Macaca mulatta: one gene and its partners. The protein of the gene in region 2 interacts with the protein of the main gene of each other region in a biochemical or structural test. Links are inferred from orthologs where the notes say so. Each region holds a gene or a part of one and is shown on either strand. Other genes may lie near its edges. The genes, in order: GBA1, SNCA, VAMP2, CSNK1A1, NEDD4, YOD1 and PLK2.

Region 1 (3,500 bases), on a different chromosome or scaffold from region 2:
TCTCAAAAAAAAAAACAAAAAAAAACCTCTCTAGGCTCGGGGCGTTGGCTCATGTCTGTAATCTCAGCACTTTGGGAGGCCAAGGTGGGTGGATCACTTGAACCTAAGAAATTCAAGACCGGCCTGGGAAACATAGTGAAATCCCATCTCTACAAAAAAACCAAAAACTATATATGTATATACACACACACACACACACACACACACACACATACACACACACACACACAGAGATTAGCTGGGTGTGGCACCCATGTAGTCCCAGCTACTCAGGAGGCTAACGCGGGAGCATCAATTGACCCTAGGAAGTCAAGGCTGCAGTGAGCTGTGATTGTGCCACTGTACTCCAGCCTGAGTGACGGAGTGATATCCTGTCTCAAAAACAAAACAAAATATCTCCCCAAACCTCTCTAGTTGCATTCTTCCCATCACCCATTGCCAGAATTCCTACAAGAGGAATTGAAAGTTCCAGAAGCCTGTGTGCAAGGTCCAGGGTCACTTGCTCTTCCTTTGCAGGTACTGACAGACCCAGAGGCAGCTAAGTATGTTCATGGCATTGCTGTACATTGGTACCTGGACTTTCTGGCTCCAGCCAAAGCCACCCTAGGGGAGACACACCGCCTGTTCCCCAACACCATGCTCTTTGCCTCAGAGGCCTGTGTGGGCTCCAAGTTCTGGGAGCAGAGTGTGCGGCTAGGCTCCTGGGATCGAGGGATGCAGTACAGCCACAGCATCATCACGGTAAGCCACCACAGTCTGCCTTCCTGCAAAGCACACCTCAGACCCCTTAGTAGTCTCACCAAAGACTGACAGACCTTTCCTGTCCAGCTTTGCCCAGCTAGCCTGCCCTTTTGGGCAACTGGGGAACCATGATTCCCTGTCTTGCCTTTCCTTCACAGGTCTGCACACCTCATTGCCCCTTTTTTTTTTTTTTTTTGAGACAAAGTTTGGCTCTGTCGCCCAGGCTGGAGTGCAGTGGCACGATCTCGGCTCATTGCAAGCTCCGCCGCCTGGGTTCACGTCATTCTCCTGCCTCAGCCTCCCAAGTAGCTGGGACTACAGGTGCCTACCACCACGACTGGCTAATTTTTTTGTATTTTTAGTAGAGACGGAGTTTCACCGTGTTAGCCAGGATGGTCTCGATCTCCTGACCTTGTGATCTGCCCACCTCAGCCGCCCAAAGTGCTAGGATTACAGGCGTGAGCCACCACGCCCGGCTCATAGCCCCTTTTGCAAATACTGACGCACTTGCACTTGCCTCAGGCTTCTCAGATCCCCTTGAGATGCCTCGATCTTCACACCCCCAACTCCTTAGCAGCTAAGTAATGTGCCCCTCACAGGGCTGAGCTACCCACAGCCACTTCTCCCTCATGTGACCCTTACCTACAGTCTCTGGGGACCCCCAGTGTTGAGCCTTTGTCTCTTTGTCTTTGTCCTTACCCTAGAACCTCCTGTACCATGTGGTTGGCTGGACCGACTGGAACCTCGCCCTGAACCCCGAAGGAGGACCCAATTGGGTGCGTAATTTTGTCGACAGTCCCGTCATTGTAGACATCACCAAGGACACGTTTTACAAACAGCCCATGTTCTACCACCTTGGTCACTTCAGGTGAGTGGAGGGCGGGCACCCCCATTCCATATCAGGCTTATCATCTCCTACATCAGATGGCTTACATCACTCTACACCATGAGGGAGCAGGAAGGTGTTTAGGGTGGAACCTCGGGAGAGGCACACCCATCCCCTTTTGCACCATGGAGGCAGGAAGTGACTAGGTAGCAACAGACAACCCCAGTGCCTGAGGCTGGACTGCGATGTAGAAAAGCAGGGTCAGTGCCCAGCAGCATGGCTCCAGGTCTAGAGACCCAGGGCAGAGCTTCTGCAGGAGTTATGGGGTGGGTATGCGGGTGGGTGACTTCTTAGATGAAAGTTTCATGGGCGGTACCCCGAGGGACTCTGACCATCTGTTCCCACATTCAGCAAGTTCATTCCTGAGGGCTCCCAGAGAGTGGGGCTGGTTGCCAGTCAGAAGAACGACCTGGACACAGTGGCACTGATGCATCCCGATGGCTCTGCCGTTGTGGTCGTGCTAAACCGGTGAGGGCAACAGTGGGGTCTGGGAAGTGGGCTGAAGACAGGGTCGGGGGCCTTGGCAGGATCACACTCTTAGCTTCTCCTCCCCACTCCCTAGCTCCTCTAAGGATGTGCCTCTTACCATCAAGGATCCTGCCGTGGGCTTCCTGGAGACGATCTCACCTGGCTACTCCATTCACACCTACCTGTGGCGTCGGCAGTGATGGAGTGGATACTCAAGCTCAGCCTGGGCATTAAAAGGACAGAGTCAGCTCACACGCTGTCTGTGGCTAAAGAGGGCACAGCAGGGCCAGGGTGCGCTTACAGCGACATAAGCCCAAGGGCAGTGGTTTGGGTGATTCACTTTCCCCTCTAGGTATTGCCAGGGGCTAGAGGCCCCTAGAAAAAGACCAGTAAGCCCCAGTGTCCCCCCAGCCCCCATGCTTATGTGAACGTGCACTGTGTGCTGCTTGCTTTGGAAACGGGGCCTGGGCCCAGGCCTAGAGTGAGCTCACTGTCGTACAAACACAAGATGAGGGGTGAGGGTAAGGAAAAGAAGAGACTAGGAAAGCTAGGCCCAAAACTGGAGACTGTGTTTCCTGGAGATGCAGAACTGGGCCCATGGAGCAGCAGTGTCAGCATCAGGGCAGAAGCCTTAAAGCAGCAGCAGGTGTGCCCAGGCAGCCAGATGGTTCCTGTGGGACTAGCCAGGAAAAATGGCAGCTCTTAAAGGAGAAAATGTTTGAGCCCAGTCAGCGTGAGTGGCTTTATTCTGGGGGGCAGCACCCCGTGTCCGGCTGTACCAACAAAGAGGAGGCACGGGGGCCTCTGGAATGCACGAGAGTAGAAAAACCAGTCCTGGGAGCGTGAGGACAAATCATTCCTCTTCATCCTCCTCAGCCATGCCCAGGGCCCGGGTGCCTGGGGCCCGAGCAGGCGTTGCCCGCTGGATGGAGACAATGCCGCTGAGCAAGGCGTAGCCCACCATGGCTGCCAGTCCTGCCAGCACAGATAAGATCTGGTTCCGGCGCCGGTATGGCTCCTCCTCAGTCTCTGGGCCTGCTGGTGTCTGGCGTGGCGGTGGTACCTCAGCTGAGGGTCAAGGAAGGAAGGTGAGTTAGGGGAACTAGTTCTCAGATCCCTGCCCACTCTCCCCAGGGCTGCCCCTCCCATCTGCCCCTTACCTCCATCCCAGGGGAAGTAGAGACTGAGGATGTGGGTACAATAGGCACAGAGGTTGTGCAGCCCCCGCAGGTGGGCCTGCAGCTTCCCACTGGGCAGCTTTGCCTGCAGCAGCAGGGCCAAGTAGCTAAAGACGAAGGCGTCCAAGGAGGCAGGGCTGGAGCAGAGAGAGAAGGGTGGGATGGAGGAGAAGCACTGAGGCAGAAGGGGTAAAGATGGAGCTGGAGGAAGAGTCAGCCCTGGGAGG
Region 2 (4,105 bases):
AACCCATCAGTCATGAACCAACACCAAAGTGACATTTGGGGTTTACCTACCTACATAGAGAACACCCTCTTTTGTCTTTCCTGCTGCTTCTGCCACACCCTGTTTGGTTTTCTCAGCAGCAGCCACAACTCCCTCCTTGGCCTTTGAAAGTCCTTTCATGAATACATCCATGGCTAATGAATTCCTTTACACCACACTGGAGAACATAAAATACACTTTGAATGAGAACTTTTGGGGGAAAATAAACAAAAAACACTGAAAAATCATGAGAAACCCTCCAAAGTGTGAGACTCTTTTAAGTGTACACTCATTTAACCATTGGACAAAGCAGACATTTTTAGCTCTGGCATTAAAAATTTAGCATCTCCCATCCATCTTGGCTAGTAAAAGTCTAGCCACCTAACCATGGATTAGGATGAATCCTCTGAGTTGTTAATACTGCATTTCAGAAGTGGAGTTGCATGAAAAGAGTCACTCCTGTTTTAACTTCCCGGGGTCTAAAGGGTAACAGTGTGAGTTAGAAGCATGGAAGCTGGAGGCTTAGGGTCTGGGGCATCCTTAACATGAATCCCAGAAGAAGGCTAACAGGTTGATGGTGGAGAGGCGTAGGCAAGAGAACTAACTACTCACTCTGGGTGTGGTTCAACCTCAGGCAAACAGCGAGCCCAAGGGTGCTGGTTCTAATACATCCGAGCATCCACCCCCGCCCTCAGATATCTACCCTGAGCAGGCGGCGCTCACACTCGCGGGCCGTCTCTAACCCTGCGCCAGCCACCCGAGGGGGCGTTCTCAGCATCCACCCTAGCGGACCCCGCGCCAGCACTTGTTAACCCTTTACCACCTGTTGACTTGGCCTCCCTGCACTTCCATTTCATTATTTGCCAAAGGCAGCTTGCTTACTTTACAGAGAAAAACCAAGAGAGCGGGCAGACGGATTTCAGGTAAGAGAGAAATAAAAGTTGGATGCTTACGCTCCAGGGAGCATCCTCGCGTTTCCCGGGGAAAAGCGGATCCCGGAGACGCATCCTAATCTCTCAGCCCTTGGGGAGAAGCCCTTGACAGGACGAAAGCCAGGTCAAGTCTCTTTCCTTAGGCTCCCCAAAGGGACAAGTACTCACCTCCCAGAGACCTGGCACAGCAGGTCCTCACCGCAGCACCACCCCCTCCTGGTGCCCACGACCATTCCTCTCCCACCCGGCTTTCTCCAGGATTTCCAAAGACGCCCGTTTAGATCCACAGGTACTTACCTGTGTCCCTCTGCTTCTCCACAACTCCGATTCCTCCCTACCTCTCTTTAAAAAAAAAAAAAATTAAACAATTCCCAAATAATATTTAATAGGGAAGAAGGAGGAAAAGGAGCGCACAGGAAGGGCGGAGGCGGCACCGGGAGGGGGACGGTCCCCAGAGGAGGCCGCTGTGAGCCGACGACGGGAGGCTGGGGGCGTGGGAGGCAAACCCGCTAACCTGTCGTCGAATGGCCACTCCCAGTTCTCCGCTCACGAGGATGGAGAAAAAGGCAGAAGGTTTGAAGGGAAGGCGTGAGGGAGCGCTCAGGACGCTCTCGGAGGGGCCGGGCCGGGGTCTGCGCTGCAGCCCGCACGCACCTCACTCCCGCGTCGCGGCGCTCGGTCGCTCGCCCCCTCTCTCGGGCCCCTTCTGGTCGTCGCCGTCCTCCTCCTCCTCGTCCTCCTCCTTCTCCTTCTCCTCGGCTCTCCGCCCCCACCGCTGATTTGTCAGCGCCTCTCCACGCTCCCCTCCCAGCGCTCGCTGCTTTCCCTGCAGCGTGCTCTTCGTTCCCTATCTCGGATGGGGATGGGGCAGGGGGCGCAGGGTGAACCACCAATTCCAGCCGCCTGCCTGGCCGCGCAAGGCGGGAAAGTGGGGGCGCTTTTGCGCCTCACCTCAAGTTCAGGGTCACGGGCACTCTTGTGGCGATTGGGAGCGGTTGGGCTTGGGCTGACGACTCTCCCTCTTTCCCATTCCCCTCCCTTCCTGTCCCCGCCTTTCCTCCGGGTCCTCCCTGGGACCACCCCCTACCCCTCGTCAGAGTCGACCTGGGAGAGCTGAGGGCCTGAGGGTCGACCACCCAGAGCAGAGCCTATCCTTTGGGGAGACAGGCAGCGCAGGGAGGTGGCTCACACCGCACCGCCGAGAGCACTTTGCCCTCGCATCGCTGACATTTAATCACGGTCACAGGCTACGTTAAGGGTCGCTTTAGTTCAAATATCCTCAAGATTTTCGTTTGCTCTTAATCCAGGTCGAGCTCGAAAGGGTCCCGCGGGTGAATCGGAGACTACTAAGGAAGAGTTACAGGTTGAGGAGGCAGGAGGAGGCTCAGCAAATCCTCTTCCCACCCCACTATCACCATTTTCCTTTCCACCAATCAGCGCCTGCCAGACGCTGATTTTCCCATCAGCGGAACGAGGAATAAATATTCCCCAGCCGTCTAAAACAAGCGGTCCTAAGGCTTTTCGCTCTAGAAATGGGACTTACTTTGCAGACCTAAGTGCATGGTCTGGTAGACAAATCCAGCGTGATTTACCCTACCAGACCATCATATCCAATTTCTTTTTCAGCCCCTTCTGAAAGGGAGATGCTACACGCCACTCACCTTTCTGACTTCTAATTCTCGTTGCCCTCAGAATTGACATCCCCTTTTCTCTCCCCCGACCCACCACATGCACAGACACACAGACGTACACACGCGAACCTCAAGACAATTTTTGCATCGCTTAACACATTTTCACCTCTTTCAGAACTGGAAGACAGCTATTCCTGGATCACACCAGAATGGAGAAGCAAGCTCCTCCCACTAGCAGAAAGCCTTTGCTTTCTGTGCCTGGATTCCGAAGATTAGTTAAGCACTGGTGGGGGCCGGCGGGGGGGGCGGGGACAACAGCTCGTTTTTGCTGTGTTTTTTAAAAATTGTTTTTATGTTTGTAGCTAATGCTTTGTCTGATTCTTGCACTCATTTGGATTCTGAAATTTGAGTAAAATCAAATGTAAACATACAAAACAACTTTAAAACCACAAGGAATAGTAAACAAATGATTATACATGAAAGACATATAGAAGATAATGCCTATGTGTTCAGTGGAAAATAGAAAAACATGAAAGTAAGATTACAAATTTTTATTACTTAAACTCTTCCTTGAACTATTGGTCTGCCCTTTGGAAAAACAGACTTTCCATAACGCAGTAGCTCATATTAATAGTTTGTGTTTGCTTAGGACCAGAGCAAGAAGGTTGGACTTGGGAGCTAGTTTGTTGTCTGGCTTGGAGACCTTGAACAAGTTATGTTCTCCTTCTGTTTCCAGTTTTATTTTTTGTAAATGAGGAGATGAACTCAGGTGATCGCCCTATATTCAACTTTTTGTTATGGGAAATATTCAAACATACGCAAAAGTAGAAAGAATAAAGGACTCCCATGTGAATATCACCCAACTTTTACATTTTTTCTATGCATGGCATATCATGTCTCATTCATAAGTCCACTCACTTTATCACTACCAATCCTCCCTATTTTTTTTCACAAAATTCAAGCTTTATATACATCTTTTCAACTGTAAACATTCAGTATGCATCCACAAAATTTAAGAACTGTTTAAAAATAACCACAATGTCATTAGACGATTCTTTTAAATTTCAGTGTAATTTACACCTAGTGAAATGCTCAGATGTTGTGTCCCTTTAAATCAGTTTTGAAAAAACCATGCATTGGTGTAACCCACACTATTTTGAAGACACAGGACATTTTCATCACTCCAGACAGTTACCTTGCACCCTTCATGTGCATATTCTAGAATGTCATAAAAGTCTAATCACGTAGTATAAACTTTTTTATATCTGTCTGACTTCTTTTACTCAGCATAGTATTTGTGAGGTGATTCATGTCATTGCATGAATCGGTGGTTTGTTTTTTATTGCTTTTTGTTGTTTCTTTTTATTATTGTTAATAGTGTAAGTTTTCCATTGTGTCTTATTACAACTAGTACTTCAATAGGCTATTACAACAATTATTTAATATATTATTTCATATGACATATTTATAGTATAACAGTGACCTCTTTGAGACCTGGTGCTTTGAGTCAAATAGGTAAATAAA
Region 3 (4,109 bases), on a different chromosome or scaffold from region 2:
AAAAAGAAACACCAGTTGAGAGAAGAGTGATGGAACAAAAAGAAATGGAAAGGGATGGCAGTATGTAATGATACGCTACTTAACATGCTGGACACTCCCAAAGACCTTGGGATTCTTAGGACCAAGTGGGGCCAGTCTCAGAGCCTCCCATTGGATGCAAACAAGATGCACCTAAGGAAGCCTGGACAGATGCTTTTTGTTTTTTGTGGTCTTTTTTGAGGGCGGGGCAGAGGGAGCATGACCGGGAGAGGGAGGAGGAAAGGAAGGCCAGGGTGGGGGGAAGGATCAGCTAAATCTGAGGGAAGAAGAAGGAGAGGAGAGGGACTATTGCATAGCAGATGCAAATGAAGGGACTTGGGGCTAGTCAGGAAGAAAGGGAAAGGGAAGGCAGGCAAGAGAGAGGAGGTGAAGGGAACCTCAGGAAGGGGTGTTAAGGACAACCAGAAAAATCTTCTAGTAATAAAACTACAAACAGACCAAATATATATAATATTATATATGTATAAATAACAGCTGGCTATTTACAGGGGGACACACACACGGACACACACACGCACGGATCCAGGGAAGGGGGGCTGAAAGATATGGCTGAGAGGTGGAGGAACGGCTGAGGGTGGGGGGAGAGGCCCTTCTTTAGGCAGGGCAGACTCCTCAGGGATTTAAGTGCTGAAGTAAACTGTGGAGAGAGGGGAAGAAGATGAGGAAGAGGGAGAGGGGAGAGAGAGAGGGAGAAAGAAAGAAAGCAGTGTGTCAGGCCTGGCCCTGCTCCAATCCTCCCCACTCCCCAGCTGGCTGGCACCCCTACCCCTCTCTTGGACTCAGTTTCTCCATCTACAAAGCAAGGGGTTAGACAGGTAGGTTATGAGGTCCCTTCAGTTCCATGGTATGGCCTTGAGGCCACATACCCTAATCCTCTGAGCCTGAGGCCACAAGCTCTCAAATAATGGGGTGGTTGGCTTCCTGGTCATGTCTCAAGCCCCTGGGCCTTTCCTTTCTCCCACTCCTCAATTCCAGGGCTCTCAGATTGGGCTCTTAGGCCCAAAGGGTCCTCAATGGATACACCAACTTTTATATTTCTAAATGTTAACAAAACTGCCAAGAACCAGGCAAAATGCAGGCTAAATAACATCAAAGTTTTTGGCTCTAGGTGAATCAGAATTGCCATTAGCAGCTATATGTGTTTTTGGCTGAAGAGTAAAAACTAGGTTAATGACCTTCAAAACCCAGAATCCACTGGGGAAACCTCTCCAGGGAAAGGGCCCCGGCCATTCCCAGCCTACTCACCTATGATGATGATGAGGATGATGGCGCAAATCACTCCCAAGATGATCATCATCTGGGGGTGAGAGGAGAGGATCAGCGAGACTAACTATGATACCCCATTCACCTGCCAGTCCTCCTTCCTGTCCCCATCCTTACCTTGAGGTTTTTCCACCAGTATTTGCGCTTGAGCTTGGCTGCACTTGTTTCAAACTGGGAGGCCCCTGCCTGGAGTGCATCTGCACGGTCGTCCAGCTCCGACAGCTTCTGGTCCCGCTCCAGGACCTTGTCCACGTTCACCCTCATGATGTCCACCACCTGGGAGAAGGGCCCACGGGGCAAGGGGGTGTGCCAAGGCCCACCTCATGAGGGCAATCCTCAAACATGTGCCCACCGTGCCACACATGGAACATGCACCCTGATGCTGCCAGGTTAACATGCCAAGGACACACACAGTACATGCCTAGCACACCTGGGGACATGCAAGGAGCACACATCAGGGGATTGCTGGTGACATCTCAGATATCATAGCAACACCCTCCCTCTATGGCGCCTCAGGCGCTCTGTCCATCACCAGAGCACACCTGCCTAGGCTGGCACACCCCAGGCTAGCAAAGCTGATTAACACCCCCAGCACCCTTCCAAGTGCGTGCTGACAGGGAGACACGGATGGGGCAAAGTATCTTTGTCCGCAAACCCACAGGCGTGAACTGTCATCACTCCCAAACCAACATGGGCCCCTACACCTAAACGCCAACCCCCAGGGTCCTTTCTACTGCTTTTGACTCCCCCCACACTCACCTCATCCACCTGGGCCTGGGTCTGCTGCAGTCTCCTGTTACTGGTGAGGTTTGGAGGGGGTGCAGGGGGGCCACCCTCCCCAGCCGGGGCGGCAGGGGGGGCCGTGGCAGCGGTAGCAGACCTGAGGAGCAGGGACGGATTAAGACCCAGGGCCTGCAGTCTCCCGGCCCTGCAGCCAGGGCTCCGCCCATCCACCTGTCCATCCTCGTCCCTCCAGTCCTCCTTTTCGGGAGGAAGGCCACCCGATGGAAGCCCTGGTCCAGGTCCAGCCTCGCCACCGATGAGCTGCGTGACCTTGAGCGAGGCCTCCCCTCCCCCCGGCCTCAGTTTCCCCGCCTGTCAAATGAGGGCGACCTCACAGATGTGATCGGGGTCGACCCGAAAAGACAGGCGGCCGCGGTGACAGGGGCGGGGCGCGGCAGGAGGACACAGGGTCCGCTCCTTCCCGCGGCCATCGCTCGAGCCGGCCAGCCCGAGACGCTGGGCTTCTCGGCCGCCCGCGCGCAGTCACCGGCTTGGGCCTGGCCCCGGGGCGCGGGGAACGCGGGAGAGACCCCGGGCACTCCCCACGGCCGGTTGCCAAGGGCGGCGGCCGGTGCAGGGAAGCGCGGTGAGGGTGGCGGGCGGCCGACTCACATGGCGGGGGCAGCGGGTGGAGGACTTGGCAGCAGCAGTGATGGCGGCGGCGACTCGCGCTGGCTCCGACTGGCGCTGGCTGCCCGGGACGGAAAGATGGCGGCCGCGCGTCACCCGCATCCGGGCACTGCGGGCGGGGGCGGGGCGCCGCGGGCGACGCGTCGGGAGCGGGGCCGCGGGGGCGGGGCGCTGCGGGACTGGGGTCGTGCCGGGCGGGACTGCGGGTCTGGCGCCACCGTGCCCCGGCAGCTCTCTGGGCACTCACGGGACCACCAGGCGGGTTGCTGCGGCTTCCCTAAACCCACCGTCACCCCGCCCTGTCTGAGCACAGCCTTCCACAGCCGCCCCCAAACCTCTTGCCACCTGCCCCTTAGGGCACACAGCAGCCTGGCCCCGCACCTAACCCCCAGACCACTCCCTGAATCGTGAACCCAATAAGCCAGCCTGCATCCCACACAGCCCAAGGTCTCGCCCCGCGCCCAGGTCCCAGCACCTAGCGACCCGCCTTCAGCACTGGGAATGGGCTGGGGTTGGGAAATCAGAGAGGGTCAGTACAGGCGCTGGGGCAATATCGAGAGCGGGGACCCTGCTGCTAGGGTGGAGGGGAGTGGAGGAGGTTGGTCTCAACCCATCACCCCGCTGGTGGATGTCTCAGAGGAAGCCTGCGATCCCAGGCCACTGGGTAGGAGGGTGGGAAGAAAAGATGAGGCAGGCTCTTCCCGCCGAAACAAGTCCAGGGGGTGGAGGACCGGGGAGTGTCTACAGGGTGTGAGGAGGGGGGTGCCCCGCCTCACGATTGAGGTTCAGACCAGGGGTACTTAACAGCTGGAGCAGGCCCGACTGAGGTGGGGTGAGCTGAAGACCCCGAGGAGGAGGGCACAAGGCAGCCGGGGCTGATGGGGGCAGGGGCTGCTTCACGTGGTGGCTGCTGACTGGCCAAGACCTAGCTTTGCCCCAGGCTTGGGTCAGCGACCCCAACTGCAGGAGAGGGCTCAGGCTTTGGTCCCAGGCACAGGGACCAAAAGGCTTTTTTCTCTCTCATTTTTTTTTCTTTAGTAGTAGGCACAGTGGGTACAGTTTACAAGGTGCTGCTTTACATGCGTATTCGCCTCGCAGGTGTGACCTTGGACAGTTGCCCTCCTCTCTCTGGACCCCAAATACATTGCATATGTAGATACTAAATCCATATTCGTTAAATGGCTTGATGTGGATAACATGGAAGATTATCCCTATCTCCATTAGGCCCTCTAAGCACACCCAGAGGCTGTGTACACTCCCACCCAGCTTGTCAGAGAAGATGGGACCAGGGGAGCTGTCGCTCTGGTGGAGTGCAGGGGATCAAAGCAAGCCTCAAGGGTACAGGAGGCATTTTAGGCGAGGCCCTTTGAACCTGGGGTGGGGGTGCTTACTAC
Region 4 (3,946 bases), on a different chromosome or scaffold from region 2:
ACCTCAAGTCATCTGCCCGCCCCGGCCTCCCAAAGTGGTGGGATTACAGGCGTGAGCCACTGCGCCCGGCCCTCATTTCTATTTTAATTAAATTTTATTTAGGATAGGCTTAGCTTAAATGTTTACGACTGAGGTCTGACTTAAGATGATAGCATAAACCATGGAGCTTTCTTTTGTGAACATTACTATTACTCAACCCAATTTTCCCAGGTCAAATTTTGTAATACAAAATGTGGTCAAGATTTGATTCTCTGATCGATTTTTAGTAAAAAAGAAAAAAATTTCCGTGTAGCTTTAAATGTTGTCAATTAAATTTTGTAATAGTTACCTCTACTCTGTTCAGGTTAATACTGCGGTTTTCAACATGACCAACATACGATTCTTTGTTGTTGTTTTGGTGGGGTTGGGGGGCATAACAGTTTTTTCACTCTTGTTAAATTAATTTTCTGTTGATTCCATCTATCCCTAATCTTCACTATGAACAAGATACTGGGTTTTCTTCTGAAGATCAAAAGTGGTAGTGAGGCAATAATGCAAAGACGTAGGACGGCAGGGGGATTCCGGCTTCTTTCTTTTTTCCCCTCCTGTGGAAAGAGGGTCTATAACACTCCGTAGTAGAGAAGAAAATTCTAATTATGAAGGGTAATTAGCTAGGTTTTGCTATAACCGAGAGCCCTGAACGATTCCTCAACGCGGGCTGCTTTTCTCTTCCTCTCCACCAGAGGCGATAGCCTCTTTCCAAACAGAAACTGGGTTGGAATAGGCCGGTCCTGGGGAGCGGCCAGAAGAAAGATCAAAGGTTAAAAACCGCCTCAAAGAGCAAAGGTCAATACCCAACTCCTAAGGAGGCCTGACACGAAACATGAAGGTGACTCCTCCCAACATCGAGGCCTGGGGCCACTCAGCCTTCCAGAGACCCTGCGGGTCCGAGGCGAGTAACAGGTAACACCAGCTGAGCCGCCGCCGACCGGAAGTGGAAGAAAGCCCGGGGCGGGGTGAGGCAGGCCGCGGCACGCCTGCGCAGTCAGCAGGAGTTGCAGCGCTCATGCGCTACTGGGCGGTGACAGGGTGACGCTCGGAGCGTGGGCCGCGACTCTCACGGATCCGGTTCCGCCCTCTCGCTGCCGATCCTTCGGAGCGAGCGCCCCAGATCCCTTTCCCAGAGTGCTCTGCGCCGTGAAGAAGCGGCTCCCGGGGACTGGGGGCATTTTGTGTTGGCTGGAGCTGGAGTAACAAGATGGCGGCGTCGGCGGAGTGACAGGGGTCCCTCAGGGCCGGAGCCGGCGGCAGTGGTGGTAGCTGTATCGCCGCCCTAGCTCACCGCGCCCCTTTTCCAGCCCGCGACGTCGCCGCGCAAGCGAGGCAGCGGCGGCCGCCGAGAAACAAGTGGCCCAGCCTGGTAACCGCGAGAAGCCCTTCACAAACTGCGGCCTGGCAAAAAGAAACCTGACCGAGCGGCGGTGATCAGGTTCCGCTCGGCTGATTCTGGGCCCCGAACGCCGGTAAAGGCCTCCGTGTTCTGTTTCCTGCCGCCTTCCTCCGTAGCCTTGCCCAGTGTAGGAGCCCCAGAGGCCTCCGTCGTCTTCCCAGAGGTGTCGGGGCTTGGCCCCAGACTCCATCTTCGTCTCTCAGGATGGCGAGTAGCAGCGGCTCTAAGGCCGAATTCATTGTCGGAGGGAAATATAAACTGGTACGGAAGATCGGGTCTGGCTCCTTCGGGGACATCTATCTGGCGATCAACATCACCAACGGCGAGGTAATCACCTGGGGTGGGGTTCACGATAACGCTGCGCTTTTCCTCATTCCCCCCACCACCACCGCGCACCCCCAAAGTGCTCGGGCCTTTCCTCACCGCACGCACTCGCCAGGGAGTCCAGGGAGCTAGTTTTCCTGGCTTGCGATCCTCGCCCGCTCTCTCCCTAAAAGGGTCAAGAACCCGATAGAAAGGTTGGGGGAACTAGTTTCCCAGCTTGTTAAACACGTCCCATAAATGTCCCTTCGTCGAGCTGTTTTTTTTTTAACCGACTTTTAAGGTGGAAACGGCAAAATCCTCTTTCTGTGATTCCCATGCTTTGCTTTGCTTTTCTTTTATTTAATTTTTAATCCTACTGGGCCTCTTGTTCCAATTAGAACAGTTTCCGATTGCCTAGTTCCTTAAAAACCTCTCACTACGTTCAGAGGTTGCTTCTTTTTTCTGGATGAATCATTTTCCTGCACTTTAGAGGACGTACGATTTCGTCACTACCCCCTGAAGAGGCCTTTGAGGCTGGTTGCCTCGTTTTATAATTACAGAGAGCTTTCTCTTTCCAGCTTTTCACTTCTTCCTTGTAGTCGCGACTTGGAGTTTTGCTAATGTCTCTCTCCTTTCCTAAATGACACTGAATCCGTAGGGATGTTGATGCCATCATCCCCTCTTTCCCCTGCAGGAAGTGGCAGTGAAGCTAGAATCTCAGAAGGCCAGGCATCCCCAGTTGCTGTACGAGAGCAAGCTCTATAAGATTCTTCAAGGTGGGGTTGGCATCCCCCACATACGGTAAGAACCCCGTGCATGTAGGCGATCCGCTGAGGGAAGCACGGAATGGGGAAGTGGGTAGAGGCAGGTAATGAGACCAGCTGAATCCGGGTCTTGTTTTAGTTACCTGGGTTCCTTGTAGCTGGTGCCTTCCTGTAAGTCATCGCAATCACTGAGTAAATTTCAATTTGCCAACTTATTTCATTGTATTACACTGCTCCATTTCGCTTCCGTCATTCTCTTCCCGAGGCTTTCGTTTGCAGTTAGGCGTGCGGGTCATCTTTGATCCCTACGCGGAAGGGTTGGCTGCTGCCTTTTTTACGGCGGCACGTCTGATGTTCTTAGGTTTGTCCAGTGAAGTGGATTTGAAGGTGCTGAAGCGACCCGGCAGTGTCAGTTCGAGTTGCTATTGGAGCTGGCTTGGGAAATGGCTGCTCTTTTGTTGTGTTTTTGTTCCAACATGTCTTCCTCCTCCGCTTAGAAAATGGCGGAACGACGTGACTCAACCCCATATTCCTGCCCTTTTCTCAGCTTGGGTTCACAAATTATGCTTCCTTGATTCCTCCTTTAGCAGCCCCGAGTGGATTAAACCTTTGAAAAGCCAAGAATAAAGCTGCAGGAGGCGGTGTGGGGGTTCGAGGAAGGAGATGGCATAGTGACAATGTTTGTGATCTCTGCAGCAGATGTGACATGAAATTGTTGAATTATACTATGTAAAATCCTTTGTGGTTCTTTTAAAAGTGTTAATTACGCTTTCCTTTCGTGAATGGTCATATTTGGCACATTTCAGTCGGGACTAAATTTGTATAGGTAATGGCAAAGGCAGTTTGAGCAGCACCAACTATGTTAAAATTTACTCAAATCAATTGTATTAAAAGAAATCTTAATCACTTAGCCACACTTTGATAAGTAATTTTAACCTGTTGAGTTTGGCAGTAAATCTTAATATCAGAGAAATTGCGGCCTTTGTTGGTGTGGAATATTGGTGAGTGCAAATTGCAGTAACGAGGATAAAAGATGACGAGATAGAAAGACATTGTTCTGTCAAATGGTTAACTTTACTTTGGAGGGTTTTAGAGTAATGTTTTAACTTTTGGGATTAAAGAGCCTCTTCATGGAATGGAGACTAAAATATAGTTTAAAACCAAGCTATTTTTCAGCAACAATCTAAAATACCTTTTGCAAAAATATTCAGAATAGGTGAGAATGGTGTTTACTGTTTGCTGGAGACTCTTTTTTTTTTTTTTGAGACTGAGTTTTCGCTCTTGTCGATCAGGCTGGAGTGCAGTGAATGGCACGATCTTGGCTCACTGCAACCTCTGCCTCCTGGGTTCAAGCGATTCTAGTGCCTCAGCCTCCTGAGTAGCTGGGATTACAGGCGCCCGCCACCACACCCAGCTAATTTTTGTATTTTAGTTTCACCATGTTGGCCAG
Region 5 (3,500 bases), on a different chromosome or scaffold from region 2:
TTAAAAGCTAAGAAAACTTAAAATATTAGTTTTACTAAAATAAATATGGAATGAGTCAAATGTTAAAGAAAGCACAAATTCTTGCTGAGAGACAGTTTTTGTTACTGGAAAATAAATGTAAAAACAGAGCCTAGGAATGTATTCAGTGTACGTATTAACATCGAAACATTTGTTTCACAATTTACGTGCCATTTTAACTGATCAAAATTAACAAACCTGTCCGAAAAGTTCTTCATCTATGATAAACCTGAGGTCCAATTCTGTTGGGTCATTTTCAAGAATCCATCTTAGGGAATTGTAATATTCACTATCCTAGATGGGAAAAATTACGTATTTAAAATTTGTACATATAACACACCTGAAATTGCAAAAAAACAATATGTAGAGGGGCTGAGTAGTTGGGTAAAAGATGAGAGGTCAGATGGACATCCTTTACTTACACACATAAACAAAAATGTATGTGTGTATGTGTGTGTATTACAAAAAGAGATGGATGGTAAGGGCAAGAGTAAAAATGCACCAGTCAATCAATCAATCAAGTGGTGCCTACTGAAAAGTTCAGAATCTATGTTTATGTGGAAGCAGTGGAGGTACAGATTGTATCATCCAGTTAAAGGAATGAATACAGAAGTTTTCAGATAAAACCTAACTTTTGGCTTTGGATATCCAGGAGCACTTAGCACATTCCTCATATGCCTACGTGACTATAATGTTTTATTTTTATTTTTTAATTTAATTTTTTTTTTTTTTTGAGACAGGGTCTTGCTCTGTCCCTCAGGTTGGAATGCAGTGGGGTGATTGTGGCTCACTGCAGCCTCGACCTCCTTGGCTCAAGTGATTGTCCTACTTCAGCCTCCTGAGTAGCCGCGACTACAGGCATGCACCACGACACCCGGCTAATTTTTGTATTTTTTGTAGAGACAGGCTATCACCATGTTGGCCAGGCTGGTCTCAAACTCTTGACCTCAAGTTCCACATGCCTCAGCCTCCCAAAGTGCTGGGATTACAGTTGCACACCCCTGTGTCCGGCACTGTGTGTGAAATGTTTAAGTAGCTATGAGGAGGCCATTGTTTATACCCAGCCCGAGTTAAAGAAAAATCTCTAAATAAATATAGAGGCTCAATGAACCAACTCAAATAACCGTGCAATCTTACGATTTATAAAGAAGCACACTGTTTGTGCTGTTAATATGTAATAAGAAAATAAAAAATGAACTTGGTACTAAGGAAGATGTCCTAGAATTCATGTGTACACACATCGTGTGAGGCTATTCAGCAGCACAGGAAACAACATGGCTACAGTCAGGGGTTTAATCCTTGGGCTTCTGTTTTTTTCTAGGAGCCTAACCATAATGCTTTGCCTTTCGACTGCCATTTAAAAAATATACACCATATGGTCGGGCGCAGTGGCTCAGGCCTGTAATCCCAGCACTTTGGGAGGCCAAGGCGGGTGGATCATGGGGTCAAAAGATGGAGACCATCCTGGCGAACACGAAACCCCATCTCTACTAAAAATACAAAAATTAGCTGGGCGAGGTGACGCGCACCCATAGTCCCAGCTACTCGGGAGGCTGAGGCAGAGAATTGCTTGAACCTGGGAAGCGGAGGTTGCAGTGAGCCGAGATCACGCCACTGCACTCCAGCTTGGCAACACAACGAGACTCTGTCTCAAAAAAAAAAAAAAAAAAAAAAAAAAAAATATATATATATATATATATATATATACACACACACACACACACATGCAATATTCATCATAAAAGATCGTAATGCAAATACTGATTCCAAAGACACATAACTTGTACAACCTATTGAAGTATTTAGTGGGATGTTTACTGTTATCTATAACTTACTCTGAAATGCATGAAGAAACTAAGATAGGCTGATGGATAGACAGACAAGTATGTGATACAGTAAATCTAGAAAAAACCAATTGTGAGTAGTGGATATACAAGTGTGCGGGGTAAAATACTTCCATCTTTATTAAACGTTAGAAAATTTTCATAATAAAATGTTGAGGAAAAAGTTAATTTGTATTTTGAAACATAATATATTAATTTCCATGTCATTAAAAGCAAATTCCTCAAAATGTTCAAGTTACTTATTAAATTATACTTTGTCTAAACTATAAGTGAAAAAGACATACCACAGATTCCATATCATGAAGGGTTATTGGTTTGTGAAGCATCATCTTGTAAAATGGGCGGATGAAAAAACCTTGCAAAAAACCAAATACATTTAGGATGATTACCAAGTGAAAGACAACAGGTAATTACATTGTAAAAGTTTATACTTAATACTAACCATCCAACAGTTTGCCATGATACACTGCCATTCCAGCTACCCGACCAATAAACTTGAAGTAAGATAGGTGATCTTCATTACACAATCCAGAGTTTGGATTTATCTGTAGGGTATAATTGTCCCTGTAAAGACAACCCCATTTAAATACTTCATTTGAAACACTTGAATATGACAAATAATTATAAATAATCTTCCTCTTTTAAGAGTTGTTTACTACTGTTAGAACCACATTCCTCCACTGAATTTAATGGTTTTAAAAATAGTAATTTCTGTCAAAAAGTGGAAATAACCCAAATGTCCTTGGCAGATGAATGCATAAACAAAGTTTTGTTTGTTTGTTTTCGAGATGGAGTCTTGCTCTGTTCCCCAGGCTGGAGTGCAACGACATGGTCTCAGCTCACTGCAACCTCCGCCTCCCAGGTTCAAGTGATTTCCCTGTCTCAGCCTCCCAAGTAGCTGGGATTAGAGGTGCCCACCACTACGCCTGGTTAATTTTTGTATTTTTAGTAGAGACAGGGTTTCACTATGTTGGCCAGGCTTGTCTTGAACTCCTGGCCTTGTGATCCACTTGGCTCGGCCTCCCAAAGTGCTAGGATTACAGGCGTGAGCCACCGCGCCTGGCCTAAACAAAGCATTCTATGCAAAAATAATGGAATATTATTCAGCCTTAAAAAGGAAGGACATTCTGATACATGCTACAACATGGATGAACCCTGAAGACATCATGCCAAGTGAAATGAGCTGGTCACAAAAAGACAAATATTGAATGATTCCACTTATGTGAGGTACCCAGAGGAGTCAAATTTACAGGGACAGAAAGCAGAATGGTGGCTGCCAGGGAATGGGGAGCAAGTGCTTACTGGGTACGGAGTTTCATTTTGGGAAGATGAAAAAGTTCTAGAGTTGGATGGTGGTGATGGCAGCACAACAATAGAGTGTATGTAATGACTCTAAATTGTATATTTAAAATGGTTAAAACAGTAATTTTTTTTTTTTTTGAGACGGAGTCTCGCACTGTCACCCAGGCTGGAGTGCAGTGATGCGATCTCGGCTCACTGCAAGCTCTGCCTCCCAGGTTCATGCCATTCTCCTGCCTCAGCCTCCCAAATAGCTGGGACTACAGGTGCCCACCACCACGCCCGGCTAATTTTTTTTGTAGTTGTAGTAGAGATGGGGTTTCACTGTGTTAGCCACGA
Region 6 (4,122 bases), on a different chromosome or scaffold from region 2:
AGTGGACTATTCAGTAGGCGCCTTGAGAGGGGGTGTGCCCTTTGAGTGATGAGAAAATGCTGCAAAGATTAACGCTCTCATTACTGAATCCCAACAGAACCTCATTAGATCCATAAAAGGGAACGTAAGCTTTAAAGATGTTTTTGCTAGAATAAACTACCACAACACTTGAGCTAATTATGCCTTAGGGTGTATACATACCCCGTTCCACAGGTCAGACGCTGTAACCTAAGAAACTCAACCACTCTCATCGTTGAACCAGAAGCTTCCCTGGACCCACCCATACACCCCAGTGGAATTTTTTTTTTCTTTTTTTGAGATGGAGTTTTGCTCTTGTTGCCCAGGCTGGAGAGAAATGGCACGATCTTGGCTCACCGCAACCTTTGCCTCCCGGGTTCAAGCGATTCTCCAGCCTCCGAGTATCTAGGATTACAGGCATGCGCCACTACGCCCCCCTTATTTTGTATTTTTAGTAGAGACAGGATTTCTCCATATTGATGAGGCTGGTCTCGAACTTCTGACCTCGGGTGATTCACCCGCCTCGGCCTCCCAAAGTGCTGGGATTACAGGTGTGAGCCACCGCGCCCGGCCACCCCAGTGGACTTCTAACCGCTCCTACCTTCCCTCCTACCTACCTCCCAACTCAGGCTGTATCATCTGTTGTAGTGTCTTGAAGAACCAAGGAGGAAAATTGCACCAGCAGAAAAAAATTGAGTCATGAAAGATGTGAAAAGATAGAAACATTACATATCATTTATTCAGAAGCAAAGTCTTTTACAGTGGAGGTGAGTTTGGACCAAGTGAACTACACTTTTCATAGTTGCCCCAGTGGGCCCGTTTGATGCTTGATAAACACACTCTAGACAAGTGGGACTTGCTGTCTGGATACCGGCTGGATAAAGAACAATGAGTATAGATTTCTTGGAAAATAGACATATAAATTCAGGGATGTCTTTATTCCTCCTTCGCCTGGGAATTAAACTCATTCTTCCAAAAGTTCAAACAGTTATCTCCTCTTTGAGACTTTTTACAACTCCCAGAGTGCTCTAGTTGCCCTCTCTATGTCTATACAACTCTGTCTTTATTCTTTCAGCAAGTATTTGTTGAACATTTTTTATTTGCGATTCACAGTCCTGGGTTCTAGGCACACACGGTTGAAAAGGTACACATAATCTAGCATTATCACGTTGCTTTGAAATTCAGTGGCTGTGTGTCTCACACCCCACCCTGTCTCCCAACTGCAATCAATACTTGTTACAATGAAGGCAGGAATGAAGTCTTCATATTTGCATGCCCAGGAACTGAACTGGAATCTGATGACACGCACTACATGACTCCTCCTTACACTGCCACCACCTGAATGAGGCAGCTGCCCTGGGCCCAGATGCTGACCTCATACTGTGCTTTCTGATGTGGCAAATAGACGTTTTCAAGCAGTCCCAGGGAGGCAGAAAGGCCAGTCCTTTGGCCCCTGGAACCTCAATGAGTCAATGTTTAATGCAGCCACGAGTCTAGTCACAAGTATAATTGTTTTTGACTGGTCCTTTGACTCAGTGACCATTCCTGGCATTCGTTTGCGTTGTGAACTATGATTCTGTTTCTCCTAATGTAGTCTGGGTGTAGCGTGGAAGCCCCAATTTAATAATTTCCGACCTCACTAAGTGCAAGGTCACATTCCAAGCTCCAGAGCTTCATTAAGGAACTCCTTCCCCCGCCCTCTTTTCTTAAGCATATATGCTACCGACGCGGAGGGCACCTCACTCGCTCTACAAGTAGCAAGACCCGTTGTCCTTTAGGAATACGGAGGTTTACATCTTCGTTCTGAGGGTGGGGGAAAAATCAGTTGCCACTTTAAAAGAGTTCGCGCTTAAGGCAGAAGCCGCGCCGAAGCGTCGCGAGAACTGTAACAACCCGCAACTTCTCGCGATGTTTGGCCCCGCTAAAGGTCGCCATTTTGGAGTCCACCCGGCGCCTGGTTGCCCCGGCGGCATCGCTCAACCGGCTGCCGGGACCAAAGCTGGTCCCGCGGGTGTCTGGCCTGTGGGCAGCCGGACCGACACGATGTGGCGGCTCCGCTGCAAGGCCAAGGACGGCACCCATGTTTTGCAGGGGCTGTCCAGCCGGACCCGGGTGCGGGAACTCCAGAGCCAAATTGCCGCCATCACCGGGATCGCCCCCGGCGGTCAGCGAATCCTCGTCGGATACCCTCCCGAGTGCCTGGATCTCAGCAATGGGGATACCATTCTGGAAGACTTGCCCATCCAATCTGGTAAGGAATCAGGGCAGGGGCCAGGGAAAGTCCCGGGAGGACGGAGAGGGGCGTGAGAGAGAACAGAACACTAGTCAAGGCAAGGTGGCTGTGGGTCGGCGGGGGACTTTGAGGCCAGGGGCGAGGATAGATCAAAGAACAGAGAACTCTGACGGGGGCCGGGGCAAGTGTCTAGCAACTCCTTGTCTTGACACAGGGTTGAAAGGGAACCCAAAGGCTTGAAGTCCCCCTTCCCCAATCCGCTTTCTGCTCGGCTTTGAAACTATCCCATTTTGTTTTCCGTCGGCGTCCACAAAAATATGAAGAAGTAGGGCCTATTTTCTCTGTCCTTATGTCTCTTTTCCCCTGTATCATCGATGAGATCTCAAGGATGCAGGATTTTTTTTTTCTTGGTTCATTTTTGCAATCCCCTTCATAGATACTTCGTTTGACAGGCATACTCATTTTCGAGTCAGCTTTTAAACACCCACTGAAAGCCCTTTCAATTTCTAACCAGTAGCAGTTATTTTTGTGCCATATCAAAACTTGAACATCAGTGTTTATAATTAAAAGCTTTCAGTTGCTGTATCAAGGACGCTGTAAACACTCAGAGTAGATAAGTTCCCAGAGAAGGAGACCCCCCTAGCGGCCTACTCTGTAGTGAGCACCTTCTGTAAAATACTGTATAAGGAAAGGAAATTTTGTTTTTGAAATGTATCTTTTTAGGTAAGCTTAAAGTTGTTTACTCCAGACCGCTTCACTAAATTGGGATGCAACCTGAAGTGTCTTTGTTCTTTGTTCTTTTTTCATCTTTATGAAAATTCAGTGAACAAAGATTGTTACTGGTAACTTATTTGCAAAGCTGTCTTCTCTTTAATAACCCCAGTTTATGCTTTAACTCCTTCAGTTTGTAATTTACAGACTTGGCTAGTGAACACTCGGTTTCTTCTATAATTTCTCTGCAGATCGGGATTTGTTTTATTTTTAACAGGTGACATGCTGATCGTTGAAGAAGACCAAACCAGGCCCAAAAGTTCACCTGCATTTACTAAACGTGGTGCTTCTAGTTACGTCAGGGAAACTTTGCCTGTGCTTACCAGAACCGTGGTCCCAGCAGACAATTCTTGCCTCTTTACCAGTGTGTACTATGTCGTCGAAGGAGGAGTCTTGAATCCAGCTTGTGCCCCTGAGATGAGACGCCTCATAGCACAAATTGTAGCAAGCGATCCGGACTTCTATAGTGAGGCAATACTGGGAAAAACAAATCAAGAGTACTGTGACTGGATCAAAAGGGATGACACTTGGGGAGGAGCAATAGAGATATCGATTTTGTCCAAGTTTTACCAATGTGAAATATGTGTAGTGGATACACAGACAGTAAGAATTGATCGTTTTGGGGAAGATGCAGGATATACTAAAAGGGTTCTGCTTATTTATGATGGCATCCACTATGATCCACTTCAGCGTAACTTCCCTGATCCAGATACACCTCCTCTGACCATTTTCTCCTCTAATGATGATATTGTTCTTGTACAAGCACTGGAATTAGCAGATGAAGCTAGAAGAAGGAGACAGTTTACTGATGTCAACCGCTTCACCCTGAGATGCATGGTATGTCAGAAAGGATTAACTGGACAAGCAGAAGCAAGGGAACATGCCAAGGAGACAGGCCATACCAACTTTGGAGAAGTGTGATCTATGCATGAATGAGGGTTGAAGTCTACTACCTCACAGATCCAGAAGGCTCTGGGTTTTCCAATAAGCTGTCGTAACCCTAAAGAACAAAGGACACAATGCTTGAACCATCCTTTTGACTTAAAACCACTAAGACACTGAAATTCCTTGTTAAGATTAAAATTAGTGTGCAAGTTTAC
Region 7 (3,603 bases), on a different chromosome or scaffold from region 2:
TCACTCCGGACAGACTGTCTTCCAGCTGTTGTCACACAGTTCCAGATTTCCACTTATCAAGCCCAGCTAAGAATTTCTTTAAGAAAGCAGCTGCTGCTCTCTTTGGTGGCAAAAAAGACAAAGCAAGATATATTGACACACATAGTAAGTTAACAAGACTTCTTTTCCTTTTTGTATCCAATATTATATTTAAATTTATATTTAAATTAGTTAAAAGAGAATTTTATATTAGCATAACTTGGCCATATTTGCATATTCTTAAATGTTGATATTTATAGCATAATAAATCCATACCTTGAATTGTGATTGATAGCTTTGTATTTTGCAAACATTAAAGAGGGCTTTTGGGGTAGTTGCAGCTAATGGCAAAGGTAAAATGCTATTTTTGTCCAGGATGGTCATAAGTTGGTCAGTAATGCAAGAAGGAGAAGATATGGCTAACCCTGTTCCTACCTTGTTAAGATAGACTAATGTTTGTAATTCTGTTTCTTGATATACAGATAGAGTGTCTAAAGAAGATGAAGACATCTACAAGCTTAGGCATGATTTGAAAAAGACTTCAATAACTCAGCAACCCAGCAAACACAGGACAGATGAGGTGTGTTGGGAAAGATTAAAGTAGATATTCACACTTTACATTACGTCCACTCTTTATTAAATAGCTCTTGGACTATGATTATCATGGTTCAAAAATGTCATATTTACTGAAGTTTTTCTTCAAACCCTTTGAAAGGGAAGTTAAAACTAAAAGGAAGTCTTTCAGTTTTACAGTGCATGCAAGCGCGTTATTGCGTTATCTTTTATCTGGCTTGTGTCCATTGCTTTTTGATAAGCTTTCCCAGCAATTGCCTCACTCTCATCTTAATCTGGAATTCTCAACCTTAAATGAATTTAGATGCTTGACTCATTGCATAAATCTTCTCTCTCCTAAGGAGCTCCAGCCACCTACCACCACAGTTGCCAGGTCTGGAACACCCGCAGTAGAAAACAAGCAGCAGATTGGGGATGCTATTCGGATGATAGTCAGAGGGACGCTTGGCAGCTGCAGCAGCAGCAGTGAATGTAAGTGGTTGTCAATCATATTTTAAATAACAAAACTCTAAATGCCACTGCTAAATACATAATAATTTAAGTCAATTTACTTTGTAGCTTAATCTAACATCGAAGTAGTAAGATTACCGGAATTGGAAAATAATCTTGAGTTCTATGTCTTTTGAATTAATGGAGTGAAACTTAGCATCTACCAAACCTGAGGTTTTATTGCTAAAATATTGTATAACTTGAAACATTTCTCTCTGCCTTTTCAGGCCTTGAAGACAGTACGATGGGAAGTGTTGCAGACACAGTGGCAAGAGTTCTTCGGGGATGTCTGGAAAACATGCCAGAAGCTGATTGCATTCCCAAAGAGCAGCTGAGCACATCATTTCAGTGGGTCACCAAATGGGTTGATTACTCTAACAAATACGGCTTCGGGTACCAGCTTTCAGACCACACCGTCGGTGTCCTTTTCAACAATGGTGCTCACATGAGCCTCCTTCCAGACAAAAAGTAAGTGTATCAATTAATGAAATCCTGTCAGTTCTCTAGTCTTGCACTAAAGAAATCTAAAAACAGTGATTAACTGCTTCTATTTTTTTCCTCTTCTCTCCCTTTCATTCCTGTTTTTATAGAACAGTTCACTATTACGCAGAGCTTGGCCAATGCTCAGTTTTCCCAGCAACAGATGCTCCTGAGCAATTTATTAGTCAAGTGACGGTGCTGAAATACTTTTCTCATTACATGGAGGAGAACCTCATGGATGTAAGTACCGTGACTTTAGAGTGGTGACATTTGAAGTGTAGTCCACAGAGCAGTAGCATCTGCATCACTTTGAAGCTTGTTAGAAACAGATTCTCCTGTCCTCTCCTTGATGTACTGAATCAGAATCTCTGGGAGGTGGAGGCAGGGATTTCCAAAGCCACTCTGATGCTTGCTTAAGTTTGAGAGGATTTTCTTAGAATAATAATAGAGTGCATGCTACAAAATCTTTGTAGGCACTAACTCACTCTCCTAATCTCTTCCAGGGTGGAGATCTGCCTAGTGTTACTGATATTCGAAGACCTCGGCTCTACCTCCTTCAGTGGCTAAAATCTGATAAGGCCCTAATGATGCTCTTTAATGATGGCACCTTTCAGGTAAATGAACTCTTCAGGAAAGCGCATGTTTAGGTCCTACACAGAAAAATCTGTGCCTAGCCAGTTTAGTAATTGACTGAATTTTTCTAATTCTTGAATATTTTGAGAGATCTAATATCTATGTTTATTTTTTAAGGTGAATTTCTACCATGATCATACAAAAATAATCATCTGTAGCCAAAATGAAGAATACCTTCTCACTTACATCAATGAAGATAGGATATCTACGACTTTCAGACTGACAACTCTGCTGATGTCTGGCTGTTCATTAGAATTAAAAAATCGAATGGAATATGCCCTGAACATGCTCTTACAAAGATGTAACTAAAAGACTTCGAATGGACCCTACGGGACTCCTCTTTTCCACTGTGAGATCTACAGGGAAGCCAGTAGAATGATCTAGAGCATGTTGAAGAAGATGGACATGTGGTGGTACGAAAACAATTCCCCTGTGGCCTGCTGGACTGGGTGGAACCAGAACAGGCTAAGGCATACAGTTCTTGACTTTGGACAATCCAAGAGTGAACCAGAATGCAGTTTTCGTTGAGATACCTGTTTTAAAAGGTTTTTCAGACAATTTTGCAGAAAGGTGCATTGATTCTTAAATTCTCTCTGTTGAGAGCATTTCAGCCAGAGGACTTGGAACTGTGAATATACTTCCTGAAGGGGAGGGAGAAGGGAGGAAGCTCCCATGTTGTTTAAAGGCTGTAATTGGAGCAGCTTTTGGCTGCGTAACTGTGAACTATGGCCATATATAATTTTTTTTTCCATTAATTTTTGAAGATACTTGTGGCTGGAAAAGTGCATTCCTTGTTAATAAACTTTTTATTTATTACAGCCCAAAGAGCAGTATTTATTATCAAAATGTCTTTTTTTTTTATGTTGACCATTTTAAACTGTTGGCAATAAAGAGTATGAAAAAGCAGAAATAATAGTTTCCTGTCTTTAGTAGAACTCTTCACCACATCATGACATTTTTTGATAATGTCATGCCAAGCAGTGCCAAGAAGCCACTGAGTATAGAAGCATACTAGAAAGTTAGATCTTTAATTTTTTCTAACCACAGTTTCTAGAAAGTCTAATACCTGAAGTACAATCATAAACTTTCAGGGTAGATCTAGCTTGAGAACACCATTCTTGTTACAACCAAAATATAAGCCTCCTACATTAAAGAAATACTCCAATTTCTCTCTAGTATTTCTTTAAAACTTGTTTAGCTTGGAGATAAAGCCAGAGTAAACAGATCTCTGTTGTTGTCAATAGGCAACAGGAAGTTTATCTTAATATGGGCAAAACTCTGAATTAGAATGCATGCACCACCTAAACATATTACTCAGCATAAACCTGCCTAAACACTTCCAGAGCCGCTGGCAGTACTAGCACATAATTCCAGTAGTGAGAAATTCTTTGTGAATAAGTCATTTTATGT

Evidence for each region.
Region 1: the proteins of SNCA (region 2) and GBA1 form a complex in vitro, tested with the Homo sapiens proteins (2 studies listed by BioGRID). The link is inferred for Macaca mulatta from reciprocal best matches to the Homo sapiens genes SNCA and GBA1.
Region 3: the proteins of SNCA (region 2) and VAMP2 form a complex in vitro, tested with the Homo sapiens proteins (3 studies listed by BioGRID and IntAct). The link is inferred for Macaca mulatta from reciprocal best matches to the Homo sapiens genes SNCA and VAMP2.
Region 4: of the proteins of SNCA (region 2) and CSNK1A1, one has a biochemical effect on the other in vitro, tested with the Homo sapiens proteins (3 studies listed by BioGRID). The link is inferred for Macaca mulatta from reciprocal best matches to the Homo sapiens genes SNCA and CSNK1A1.
Region 5: of the proteins of SNCA (region 2) and NEDD4, one has a biochemical effect on the other in vitro, tested with the Homo sapiens proteins (3 studies listed by BioGRID). The link is inferred for Macaca mulatta from reciprocal best matches to the Homo sapiens genes SNCA and NEDD4.
Region 6: the proteins of SNCA (region 2) and YOD1 form a complex in vitro, tested with the Homo sapiens proteins (2 studies listed by BioGRID, with this or other methods). The link is inferred for Macaca mulatta from reciprocal best matches to the Homo sapiens genes SNCA and YOD1.
Region 7: of the proteins of SNCA (region 2) and PLK2, one has a biochemical effect on the other in vitro, tested with the Homo sapiens proteins (2 studies listed by BioGRID). The link is inferred for Macaca mulatta from reciprocal best matches to the Homo sapiens genes SNCA and PLK2.

The regions. Positions count from the first base shown.
Region 1 is NC_133406.1:111,758,248-111,761,747, forward strand, and holds part of GBA1 (lysosomal acid glucosylceramidase), read left to right. Parts: intron 1-516; coding exon 517-741; intron 742-1,445; coding exon 1,446-1,609; intron 1,610-1,978; coding exon 1,979-2,095; intron 2,096-2,189; coding exon 2,190-2,295; 3' UTR 2,296-2,948; coding exon of another isoform or gene 2,949-3,163; 3' UTR 3,164-3,255; coding exon of another isoform or gene 3,256-3,417; 3' UTR 3,418-3,500. Other genes in the region: metaxin-1, read right to left, coding at 2,949-3,163, 3,256-3,417. UniProt on the Homo sapiens protein: Glucosylceramidase that catalyzes, within the lysosomal compartment, the hydrolysis of glucosylceramides/GlcCers (such as beta-D-glucosyl-(1<->1')-N-acylsphing-4-enine) into free ceramides (such as N-acylsphing-4-enine) and glucose.
Region 2 is NC_133410.1:99,154,553-99,158,657, forward strand, and holds the start of SNCA (alpha-synuclein), read right to left. Parts: upstream 2,801-4,105; 5' UTR 2,612-2,800; intron 1,968-2,611; exon of another isoform or gene 1,902-1,967; intron 1,669-1,901; exon of another isoform or gene 1,465-1,668; intron 1,293-1,464; exon of another isoform or gene 1,248-1,292; intron 765-1,247; exon of another isoform or gene 631-764; intron 197-630; 5' UTR 172-196; coding exon 51-171; intron 1-50. UniProt on the Homo sapiens protein: Neuronal protein that plays several roles in synaptic activity such as regulation of synaptic vesicle trafficking and subsequent neurotransmitter release.
Region 3 is NC_133421.1:9,677,680-9,681,788, forward strand, and holds the start of VAMP2 (vesicle-associated membrane protein 2), read right to left. Parts: upstream 2,801-4,109; 5' UTR 2,700-2,800; coding exon 2,698-2,699; exon of another isoform or gene 2,265-2,697; coding exon of another isoform or gene 2,257-2,264; intron 2,183-2,256; coding exon 2,062-2,182; intron 1,579-2,061; coding exon 1,420-1,578; intron 1,337-1,419; coding exon 1,285-1,336; intron 677-1,284; coding exon 660-676; 3' UTR 1-659. UniProt on the Homo sapiens protein: Involved in the targeting and/or fusion of transport vesicles to their target membrane. Major SNARE protein of synaptic vesicles which mediates fusion of synaptic vesicles to release neurotransmitters.
Region 4 is NC_133411.1:158,512,786-158,516,731, reverse strand, and holds the start of CSNK1A1 (casein kinase I), read left to right. Parts: upstream 1-1,146; 5' UTR 1,147-1,633; coding exon 1,634-1,756; intron 1,757-2,426; coding exon 2,427-2,533; intron 2,534-3,946.
Region 5 is NC_133412.1:33,147,773-33,151,272, forward strand, and holds part of NEDD4 (E3 ubiquitin-protein ligase NEDD4), read right to left. Parts: intron 2,427-3,500; coding exon 2,305-2,426; intron 2,218-2,304; coding exon 2,147-2,217; intron 313-2,146; coding exon 217-312; intron 1-216. UniProt on the Homo sapiens protein: E3 ubiquitin-protein ligase which accepts ubiquitin from an E2 ubiquitin-conjugating enzyme in the form of a thioester and then directly transfers the ubiquitin to targeted substrates. Specifically ubiquitinates 'Lys-63' in target proteins.
Region 6 is NC_133406.1:64,800,761-64,804,882, reverse strand, and holds the start of YOD1 (ubiquitin thioesterase OTU1), read left to right. Parts: upstream 1-1,322; 5' UTR 1,323-1,926; coding exon 1,927-2,269; intron 2,270-3,239; coding exon 3,240-3,943; 3' UTR 3,944-4,122. UniProt on the Homo sapiens protein: Hydrolase that can remove conjugated ubiquitin from proteins and participates in endoplasmic reticulum-associated degradation (ERAD) for misfolded lumenal proteins.
Region 7 is NC_133411.1:66,282,121-66,285,723, reverse strand, and holds the end of PLK2 (serine/threonine-protein kinase PLK2), read left to right. Parts: coding exon 1-144; intron 145-500; coding exon 501-598; intron 599-932; coding exon 933-1,062; intron 1,063-1,307; coding exon 1,308-1,548; intron 1,549-1,670; coding exon 1,671-1,800; intron 1,801-2,063; coding exon 2,064-2,174; intron 2,175-2,310; coding exon 2,311-2,502; 3' UTR 2,503-3,103; downstream 3,104-3,603.